Linked DNA regions of Caenorhabditis elegans. The protein of the gene in region 1 interacts with the protein of each later gene in a pairwise test. Each region holds a gene or a part of one and is shown on either strand. Other genes may lie near its edges.

Region 1 (5,057 bases):
GTACAGATTGTGTGAGAACATTAAAATGCAACAAAAAACCGCTGAAGAACGTGACTTGACGTATCGAAGTGGTAATTGGAAAAGAAAGGTGTGATTGTGATGAGATTGATAAGAGAGAGGAGGAGATGATGGTTGTGGAATATGATTGAAGTTGAATTGACATCAAATAGAAATTGGTTTATGGAATGAGAATAAAACGAAATAATTTAAAATGTAAAAGTTTAGAACAGCTGAAATGAAGATCTTTTCGTGAAAAACAAAAGTTTCTGAAAATAAAGATTAAGGTATTCCAATCCGATCGAGTAATTATGATGGAGGTGGTGGAGGTGGGATCATTCCATGACCAGATGGTGGTGCTGGAGGACGACTTGGTGGTGGAGGTGGATACATTCCTGGTCCAGCAGAAGGATATCGCGGCGGTGGTGGTGGCGGCATGCCTCCCGGATATCTGAAAAGAAAAATTGTGTAAGTTCGAACGGTGAACATGAACGATATTTTCAACTTAGAACAAAAATATATACCTCATCCCTGGTGGAGGTGGCGGCGGCATTCCACCCATTCCTGGAGGACCAAATCGTGATGGTGGTGGTGGTGGAGGCATACCAGGCATACCTGGTGGTCCTGGAGTTCTTCCTGGTGGAGGCGGTGGTGGTGGCGGCCACATTCCAGATGATGGTGGTGGTGGTGGACGAGGAGTCATTCCTGGCGTTGGCGGCATTGGAGGTGGCATTGGTGTCACACTTGGTGGAGGTGGTGGTACTGGTGGATATTGTCCTTGATATCCAGATTGAGCCATTCCCATCAATGGTGGTGGTTGATAGCCTGGGCGTCCTGTTGCATGAGCAGCAATAGCAGCATGAACTCCTGGCATGGCCAAAGGTGTGTTAGCTGGAACACCAAGTGGAACGTCAGAAAATACTTGATGTGGCCGGTCTTTTGGAAACAGTGGATTTTGTGCAGCCAGCATACGCTCCGCTGCTGTTCCGTGTCTTTCTCCTTTTGAATCTCTCTTGAAAGCGTATGAGACGGTGATAGCTCGATTGCAAAGAAATTGGCCGTTCATAGCTTCTAATGCTGTATCTGAAGCTTCGAATGAAGCGAAGTTGATGAACGCGAATCCTTTAGACGTTCCCGAATCAACATCTCTCATGATTTTTGGAACTTGAAGAATAACTCCAAAAGCACTGAACGTATCGTATAGCAATTTCTCATCGACTTCTGGATCCAGATTTCCAACAAAAATATTTGCACCAACATCCATATTCTTTTCATGAGCCGATGCTTTGTTCACCTGAATATTATTTTTTTAAATAATAAACTAAACATATTTGATAGCTTACTTTAATTGGCTTTCCGTATAATTTGATCATGTTTAAAATTTTGATTGCATAATCTGCATCTTCTTCTCCCATGAACTCCACAAATCCGAAACCTTGATGATTGGCAGTTACTCGATCTTTCGGCATATTGACACTGACAACAGGTCCTGCTTGTACCATAAGTTCCCATAGGATGGACTCTGACACCTTCTCGTCTAATCCACCAACGTAAATTGTTGCATCTTGGTTTCTTTCCACTATCGGCCCTGCTGACATCTGAAATATTGATTTTTAAAAAATGAACAGCACATGAAAAAAAATAAGTCCAACAAAGGAAAATAAACCTCTGATCTCAAAAAAAAATATTTTGGCATATATATATATAAAACATGTTTATTTTAAAGTGATAAGAGATCAGTTCAGAAATCTTCATCTTCCTTTGGGGATTTCTCCCTCTGATCATCGAAATTACGAGTTCCCTTCAGTTCATCGGATTGCACAAGAGTCTGGAAAAAGTTAGAGAACTCCAACGAGTCTCCTCGTTCGTCCCAATCTTTTCGGTTGATCCATGGAACTTTAGAAGCAGTGAGAAGCTCTTGACCACAATGCCAGGAATGAGTTTGTGGGTTTATTACGTCATTTGAAACATTCAATCCATATTCTGCTGGCAGCATTGATCGAACTTCTCGTTCCAGGCGTTCACGAAATCCTGGGAAGCACGACGATCCGCCAATCACGATGATATTTTCTGCCAGAGCAGGCCGTAATGCTTCTGGACATTGACAAATACTCTCGATAACAGCTTCTGCGACACCACATTGATCAATATCAATATCCGAGGGACTGCAACAGATAAAATAGTTTATACTTTTTGCCGAAATTACTAACTTGAATAAGATTTCCGGAATGGCGAATCTCTCAACTCCCAAATGAATTGAAGGAATTTGTGGATCGTGTGGCTCTTTAACGTCTTTCACTACACCTCGGAATGTCGAGTGGAAATCCGGCATAATATATCGTTTCATTGTTGTATTTTCTTGAAATCGATTCCTGAATAAAAACAATATAATTAGTATTCTTCATTTTTATACCTACCTAGCCTCTTTCATGCTCTCATCAAAATTTTGTGAGACGAAGCAAAGATCCTCTTTACATTCGTTGATAACGTATGTTTCTTCGCTAACATTCAATTGTCGGTAAGATACCCAGTCCTTCAATTTATTTGTTAACGCTTTTCCACCAACATCGATCCTTAAAAATAAAGCTAATTGTAGTTTGAAAACACTTTCCAACCTTATAACACTATCCTGAATAAGCATTCCATTCACAAATGAAGCTACCGTAGTCCATGAAAACCCGGAATCCACAACAACTGCACACTTTTCGTTGTTGATTTTATTTGAATGTTTTGCCACCAAAGTCGAAGCAGACGTTTTGTGTACCTCTGTGAAGCCGAAATAATCAAACAATATTTCACTAGAGACATCAGGAAGAGCTGGGATTAGATAGTTATTATCTGTGAGTGCAATTCGAGAAGTAGACGCCTCCACATCCATAGATCCGAACGTTTTCTCCCAGATTTGCTGTTGTGTATCCCAATTCACCACATATCCTCTTTCAATTGGTCGCACATAGAATAGCGAAAACTTGTCCGAACATTCTTCTTGCTCGTGTGCAACAAAAACCCGCTTCTTTTCATGTTTCGCTTTCACAATACTGTTTGGAACTAATCTGAAAATATTTAAATTATATTGATATTTTTCTTATTAGAAACAAACCTAGGGGACTCTGAGTCTATCGTACCTATCTTCATATTATGGCCACCATTGTCAAAAATAATTGTTGTTAAACTCATCTACAAAATTATTTCACAGAATGAGTAGTGTGATTTTTCCAGATAAAAAATTAAGAGTAGGGTGGTAACCTATAAGATAACAAATAATTTCGAATTATCACAATATTCATGAAAGTATCAGGCACACAAGAAACAACCCGGTTATTGGAATTGAATTGAAAATCTATGCGTTTTTACGAATGTTACATATGCTTCTTAAAAATTAGGATTCCCACGTAAGGCGACCGGTCCTTCCCGTTGAAGAAGTTGCTGAAGACGAGCGACTTCTTCGTCTTTACGATCCATTTCTCCTACAGGAGTCCAGCTTCTGTCATATTCCAACCGATATGATCCAAGATATTCTTCTTTCTTCTCTTGGTATCCCCACTCGTTAGGAGCCAACATAGAGAAATATTTGTTCATGCTTCCTTGCTTCTGGTACAAATGGTAAATTCGGCCAGGTTGCTTCTCCATGTTACAGGGAACGTTATGCAAATGCTCATCGCGTTGAGCATCTTCGAGAACTGCACGAGCTGCCATATGTAATTGTTCCATTTGATCGGCAATTTGCTTCAGACGATCGCAAGCTCTTCCTTTCACCAATTGGCGGGCACTGTTTAACTGATTTGCCAGCGCGACCAAATCATCGGCATCAATTTTGTCAGTTTGACGAGCACTGGTTACAAGGCGCTGATCTTCACTTCGGGACTGCACGAGAGGAACGTTTACTGAAAAATTTAATTACTATTGATATCAAAATTTGTTCGTACTTCTTTCTCCTCTTTGTGGAAGCTGGACAAGAGGCATATCACTCGCCATTTCTACTTCATTTATCTCCATCTGTAACTAATCTTGTATTAAGCTGTGACAGGCCTTTAAAAACACATGCAATCGAAAATAGGCTGGACGGATTGAGACCAGAAATGATGCAAATATAAAAACAAATTATTGAACTAATAAATTTAATGTCTGATATTAAAACAAAAACAATCAAGAACCCATTTAAATTATGAGAATACAAATAAATAATTCAAGTACGTTTAGAATGCAATATCTATTGTTTTCTCTTCAATTCAAGCTTGGTTATGTCTGTATTCAGCTTGGATTTTTCTTTAGCGGCTTGATAAGCGTTGTCGACAAGTCCAACCAATTTTCCTTCCTTTGCAAGAATCTTCATCAATTCAATTACGAACGGAGTATAATTGTGACGTCGGCGATTGTTTTCCTTGCGGTACCTGAATTTCACACATAAAATATTTAAATTAGAGCATTTCTTACATTTCCATTTTGTAATCCTCATCAGCAATGGCTTTATTGAGATCGGCTATCTGCTCTTCAAGCTCATTATTTTCATTTGCTTGAATCAAGTTCTCCATCATCTCCTGCAGTTTCTGTTTGCGGTTTGGAACAAGTGCCATCAAATTGAACGTGATCTCCCCTTCGCTGTATTTTTGCATTCTTTGTTGAATTACGGGCTTAATTGCCTCAATCCAGTCTTGTTCTTTTTGGAACTCAGCAACCTCAAGTGGGAGCTCACGAAGCCCATCCAGCTCGTAGACCTTATTACCGATTGGCACGTATGTCACAAAGTGATAGTTATCCTCCGATTCTCCGCCTTTGATATCAAGTTCGAAAAGAGTCTGACGAGAAAAACTATTGTGAACAGTGCGAATTTCCTCGCTGTTCGAAAGACAATGACCGCGAGTATTCGGATCCAAGTCAATCGCGAATTCTTTGTACTGATTCAGGATATTTCCAAGCTTCACATCGGTATCTTCCACGTTCATAAGCAAGTTGATGAGAGCTTGAGTAGCACAAGCGTTTTGAATTGTTTGATGAGCAAAAAAGATGTTTTGCTTGTCACTAGGAATCCCAGTTGTTTCATCTCCCTGGCGCCACTTGAA
Region 2 (4,394 bases), on another chromosome or scaffold:
TGAGACGATCTTTTTCTGCACGCATGAGGCTAATTTTTGTGAATCCTTGTGTTGTCATGCCGCGCACCTGAATCAGTTTATCGAAATAATATTTTTTAAATCATTTTTCGAACCTCCGTCTTCCAACTTCTTGCATGATCTATTAATTGACTGAATGAACGAGTCTCAAATCTTGCCGGCTCATTTTCCCTCATTTTCGTGTGGGTAAGTTGTTTTAGTACTGAAAAATCAATAAATGGGGAAACATTTTGCAGGTTATAGAGAAACTGATAAAAATTGAACATCATGGGAATTTCTGTAAATATAAAAAGTGAAACACGAAATGAGTGAAGCGTTGAGAGAAATAAAGAACTTATTTATCAATAGAGCGCCCTTCACCCCGACAAATTTAAAATTTGTTTTTCCCTGCTTGAAATTTCCCGGGCGTAGATCTGAAAATTCGATAAACTCACGCCTAATCAAACGTTTTCAGAATAATTTCTCAAACAATCGTCAAAGTTACTCCATAAAACATTTATGTCCAAAAGACAAACAACAGAACCAAATCAACGAGTTGAAGAAAAACGACTAAATCAGGCGATTATGTATTTGGGGGAAAAGCGGGTAGATGGGGAACAATACAACCAGTTCAAGATCATATGAAGTTTGAGGGCAATACAATTTAAAACAGTTAAAAAAATATCCGTATGGGGTAGAACCAACAAAATTAATATCTGTAGTGGTCTGGCTTGTATGGTCCGGCAACTGGAACTCCAAGGTATGAAGCTTGCTCGTCGGAAAGCTTAGTAAGCTTAACTCCCAATTGAGCCAAGTGAAGATAAGCGACCTCCTCGTCAAGGGTTTTTGGAAGAACGTAGAGTCCGAGCTTGTATTCTTGTGGAGTTCCGAACTTGGTCCAGAGCTCAACTTGAGCGAGAACTTGGTTGGTGAAGGAGTTGGACATGACGAAAGATGGATGTCCGGTGGCACATCCAAGGTTGACAAGACGTCCTTCGGCAAGGAGGATGACGTGACGTCCGTTCTTGAGGGTGTAACGGTCAACCTGAAAAAAGTTGGTTCAAACTTCTATCGATGATTGTGAATTCATCCTAATTCTGAACATTTTCTTACCTGTGGCTTGATGGTGTCCTTCTTGGTGGCATTGGTGTTGAGCCATTTGACGTCAATCTCGCAATCGAAGTGACCAACGTTGCAGACGATAGCGTCATTTGGAAGAAGCTCGAAGTGCTTTCCGGTAACGATGTCCTTGCATCCAGTGGTGGTGACAATGATGTTAGCCTTTGGTGCAGCCTCCTCGAGGGTGGTCACTTCGTATCCTTCCATAGCGGCTTGAAGAGCATTGATTGGATCGATCTCGGTGACAATGACACGGGAACCGAAAGCCTTGAGGGAAGCAGCAGATCCCTTTCCGACATCTCCGTATCCAGCGACAACGGCTACCTTTCCGGCGAGCATAACATCAGTGGCGCGCTTGATTCCGTCTGGGAGAGACTCGCGGATTCCGTACAAGTTGTCGAACTTGGACTTGGTGACAGAGTCGTTGACGTTGATAGCTGGAACCTTAAGGTCTCCCTTGGCGAGCATCTTAGCCAAGTTGTGGACTCCAGTGGTGGTCTCCTCGGAAAGTCCGCGGATTCCAGCGAGGTATTGTGGGTACTTGGCGTGAACCAAGTTGGTAAGATCACCTCCATCATCAAGGATCATGTTGAGTGGTTGTCCATCCTTGAAGACGATAGTTTGCTCAATGCACCATTCGTATTCCTCGTCGGTCTCTCCCTTCCAGGCGTAGACTGGGACTCCGGTCTGGGCAATGGCGGCAGCAGCGTGATCTTGGGTGGAGAAGATGTTGCAGGAAGACCATTGGACCTGGAAAAAGTTTCGATTTTTCAAACCAACTTATTTTAATACTAATTCTTTCAAAAAACAAGATTTACCTCAGCTCCGAGAGCAGTAAGAGTCTCAATGAGAACAGCGGTTTGGATGGTCATGTGGAGACATCCGGCGATTCTAGCTCCCTTCAATGGCTGGGATGGTCCGTACTTGGAGCGCATAGCCATAAGTCCTGGCATCTCATTCTCAGCAAGGATGATCTCCTTGCGTCCGAAATCGGCGAGCTTGATATCAGCGACCTTGTAAGCTGGCTTAGACTGGGCCATTGCGAATGTGTTTTACCTGAAATAATTAGAAATTTATTTTAATCTGCAGGACGGATAGGGAAGAGAAGCGAAGAAGTCCATAAGACGGAAATAAAGAAAAAAAATGAGACACTTTTTTGAAAGTTCGGCTGTGAAAAGGATAAAACAAGAGTTTGTGAAGAAAAAAAAACTGATTGTGAGAAGGTTATTTTCCAATTTATAAGTTGTTTTTGTTTATCAGAGAATCGAAAATAAACAAAAACAACCTTGGCTTACGTGGATTGCCAAAACATCAATTTTTAAATGGAAAAAAACAATAATCCATGTGTAAATAAGTAAACCCGAAAATACGGAAGATAGTTAGTGGACGAGAACTTTTTTAGGTTTTAGAGTTTAATATGTGGGAAAATCTATTAAATCTGGAACCATGACGAAGAAATTTACAACTAGTCGGTCTTTTAAACATAAAACAAAGCGAGGAACTTTGCAAAAACTTTTCCCAAAAAGAAAGCTTTTTCGAAATTTCTACTGTTTCGATCAAAGGCGCAGTGATTTTTCTCAGTGGGTCCCGCCACGAAGGCCTAAAATTTGGACTTACTCGCCGCGAAACGATGATTTTTATTTGAAAATTACTAAAGAAAATTTAAGAAAAAAACGTATTGACACATGAGGTGAGATATGCATCCTGCGATGCTCGTCAACCGTCAAGACAGCGTTATTTATGGAGAATTGGCGATAAAATCTTGATAGCCTTGTAAAATGTAAGATTACTTTGGCCGATAGCTTTGGTAAAGTGACCTTCCTGAATTCCACACCACCGCAGATTTCTTTGAAGATTCTGTACGACCTAGAAAAGGATATCACGTTTCAGATTAAATTTTAGGATTCGTCGATGATAGATTTCCCCCACTTTCCTCTTGTTCTAGAATGATTCAGTACCTTTTCAGTCTGAAAGGGAAAAATCACTTTCTTTTTTTTTTGCTAGCCCGTATTCCTACGGCGTTATTTCTGGCCCAACGGCGGCCTTTTATAGCACCCAAATGCCTGTGCCACATCAGTCTCCGCCCACTTTTCGTCGTGGATGTGCTGCGTCTCTCATTCTCCGCTTCTGTGTACTTTTCTATGTTAGATGTGCAGGAATGATAAGAGCTTGAGAGAAAGCAGAGAAAGAGGAAAGCGAGGGAAATTCAAAAATTAATTTTCTATTTTTGACACATTTTTTACAATGTGGCGCCTCAATTTGGATAATGTAATTTTTCATGCAAGACGTCGACCGGGACAGTTTCAAAATTTCTAAGTGATATGTTCTGAAATATAACTGTGTTCTGAAATATAATTTTGCTCATTACAATTAAAACTAAAATTTTCTTTGCAAATCTCGTTAAATTCTAGAAGAATCTATTAGAGATCTATGTATCTCTTACTTTCTATCATCCAAGGTCACTTCTTATCGTAGTTCTTTTTTCGAAATGCCCTCCGCCGCCAATTTCGTAGACAATTAGGTTTCGCTTATCAATTTTGCAAAGTTCAGGTGGTTTTAATGTCTAATAGAATTCTATAAACTTTTTAATGTTTTAATCTCCTAGAATAGACTTCATTTAATTTTCCAAATAAAATTTCTTTTGGTTTTTCCAAAATCCTCGAATGCTGAGAATCCGGTGCAGTTTCTCTGAGATATCTATTTCCCGGAAAATGATTTTTGTAATTTAGTATCGGAAATTTTGGCAAGGCGAATTTTTCTAGACCCACTTCGACCGTATACCTCATCTGGAATTCCAGACAGCTGATCAGCTACACATCACGCCATTCACAATGTCTCATATTTTATGTTTCTTCTCTTATCTCAATGATTATATCATGGTGATCTTGTTAACAATCGGCGCACGAGAAACAAAAAAGGAGTAAAAGAATATTAGTGAAAGGTAAAAAGGAGAGATTTCCTGAAAAAATCTTTTAAGAAAGTTATTTAACAATTTATAATTTTAGGATGGGAATAGGTTGGGACGGGAGGAAACGAAGATCAAATGAGAGAATCAGGAGAAAAAACATTTAAAAATGAAATAAAAATGTAGAAATTCAACAAATAAAAATAAATAAATTATGTTAAAAGGCGTAGCGAGTGCGAATGTCTTCCAACTTCTTTGAGATCTGAAAATTAATTTAATTTAGGCTATAATATGGAAATTTTTTGTAGTTTTAATAATTTTCTGATCACTTTCTCATGTTTCTGTTGTCTTGAAATTGCATAATCTCGTTAGG

What was found.
Region 2: the proteins of arp-6 (region 1) and ahcy-1 interact in a two-hybrid assay, tested with the Caenorhabditis elegans proteins (one large-scale study listed by BioGRID).

What each region holds. Positions count from the first base shown.
Region 1 is NC_003280.10:8,034,173-8,039,229, forward strand, and holds arp-6 (Actin-like protein C08B11.6), read right to left. Parts: upstream 3,175-5,057; coding exon 3,098-3,174; intron 3,051-3,097; coding exon 2,613-3,050; intron 2,571-2,612; coding exon 2,415-2,570; intron 2,370-2,414; coding exon 2,208-2,369; intron 2,163-2,207; coding exon 1,739-2,162; 3' UTR 1,705-1,738; downstream 1-1,704. Other genes in the region: sap-49 (Splicing factor 3B subunit 4), read right to left, coding at 307-448, 522-1,291, 1,341-1,595; C08B11.9 (uncharacterized protein), read right to left, coding at 3,370-3,881, 3,924-3,972; Ubiquitin carboxyl-terminal hydrolase ubh-4, read right to left, coding at 4,208-4,388, 4,432-5,057.
Region 2 is NC_003279.8:6,834,247-6,838,640, reverse strand, and holds ahcy-1 (Adenosylhomocysteinase), read right to left. Parts: upstream 2,173-4,394; 5' UTR 2,157-2,172; coding exon 1,935-2,156; intron 1,867-1,934; coding exon 1,111-1,866; intron 1,043-1,110; coding exon 707-1,042; 3' UTR 501-706; downstream 1-500. Other genes in the region: dpf-3 (Dipeptidyl Peptidase Four (IV) family), read right to left, coding at 1-67, 114-287; teg-4 (Splicing factor 3B subunit 3), read right to left, coding at 4,239-4,283. UniProt on the Caenorhabditis elegans protein: Adenosylhomocysteine is a competitive inhibitor of S-adenosyl-L-methionine-dependent methyl transferase reactions; therefore adenosylhomocysteinase may play a key role in the control of methylations via regulation of the intracellular concentration of adenosylhomocysteine.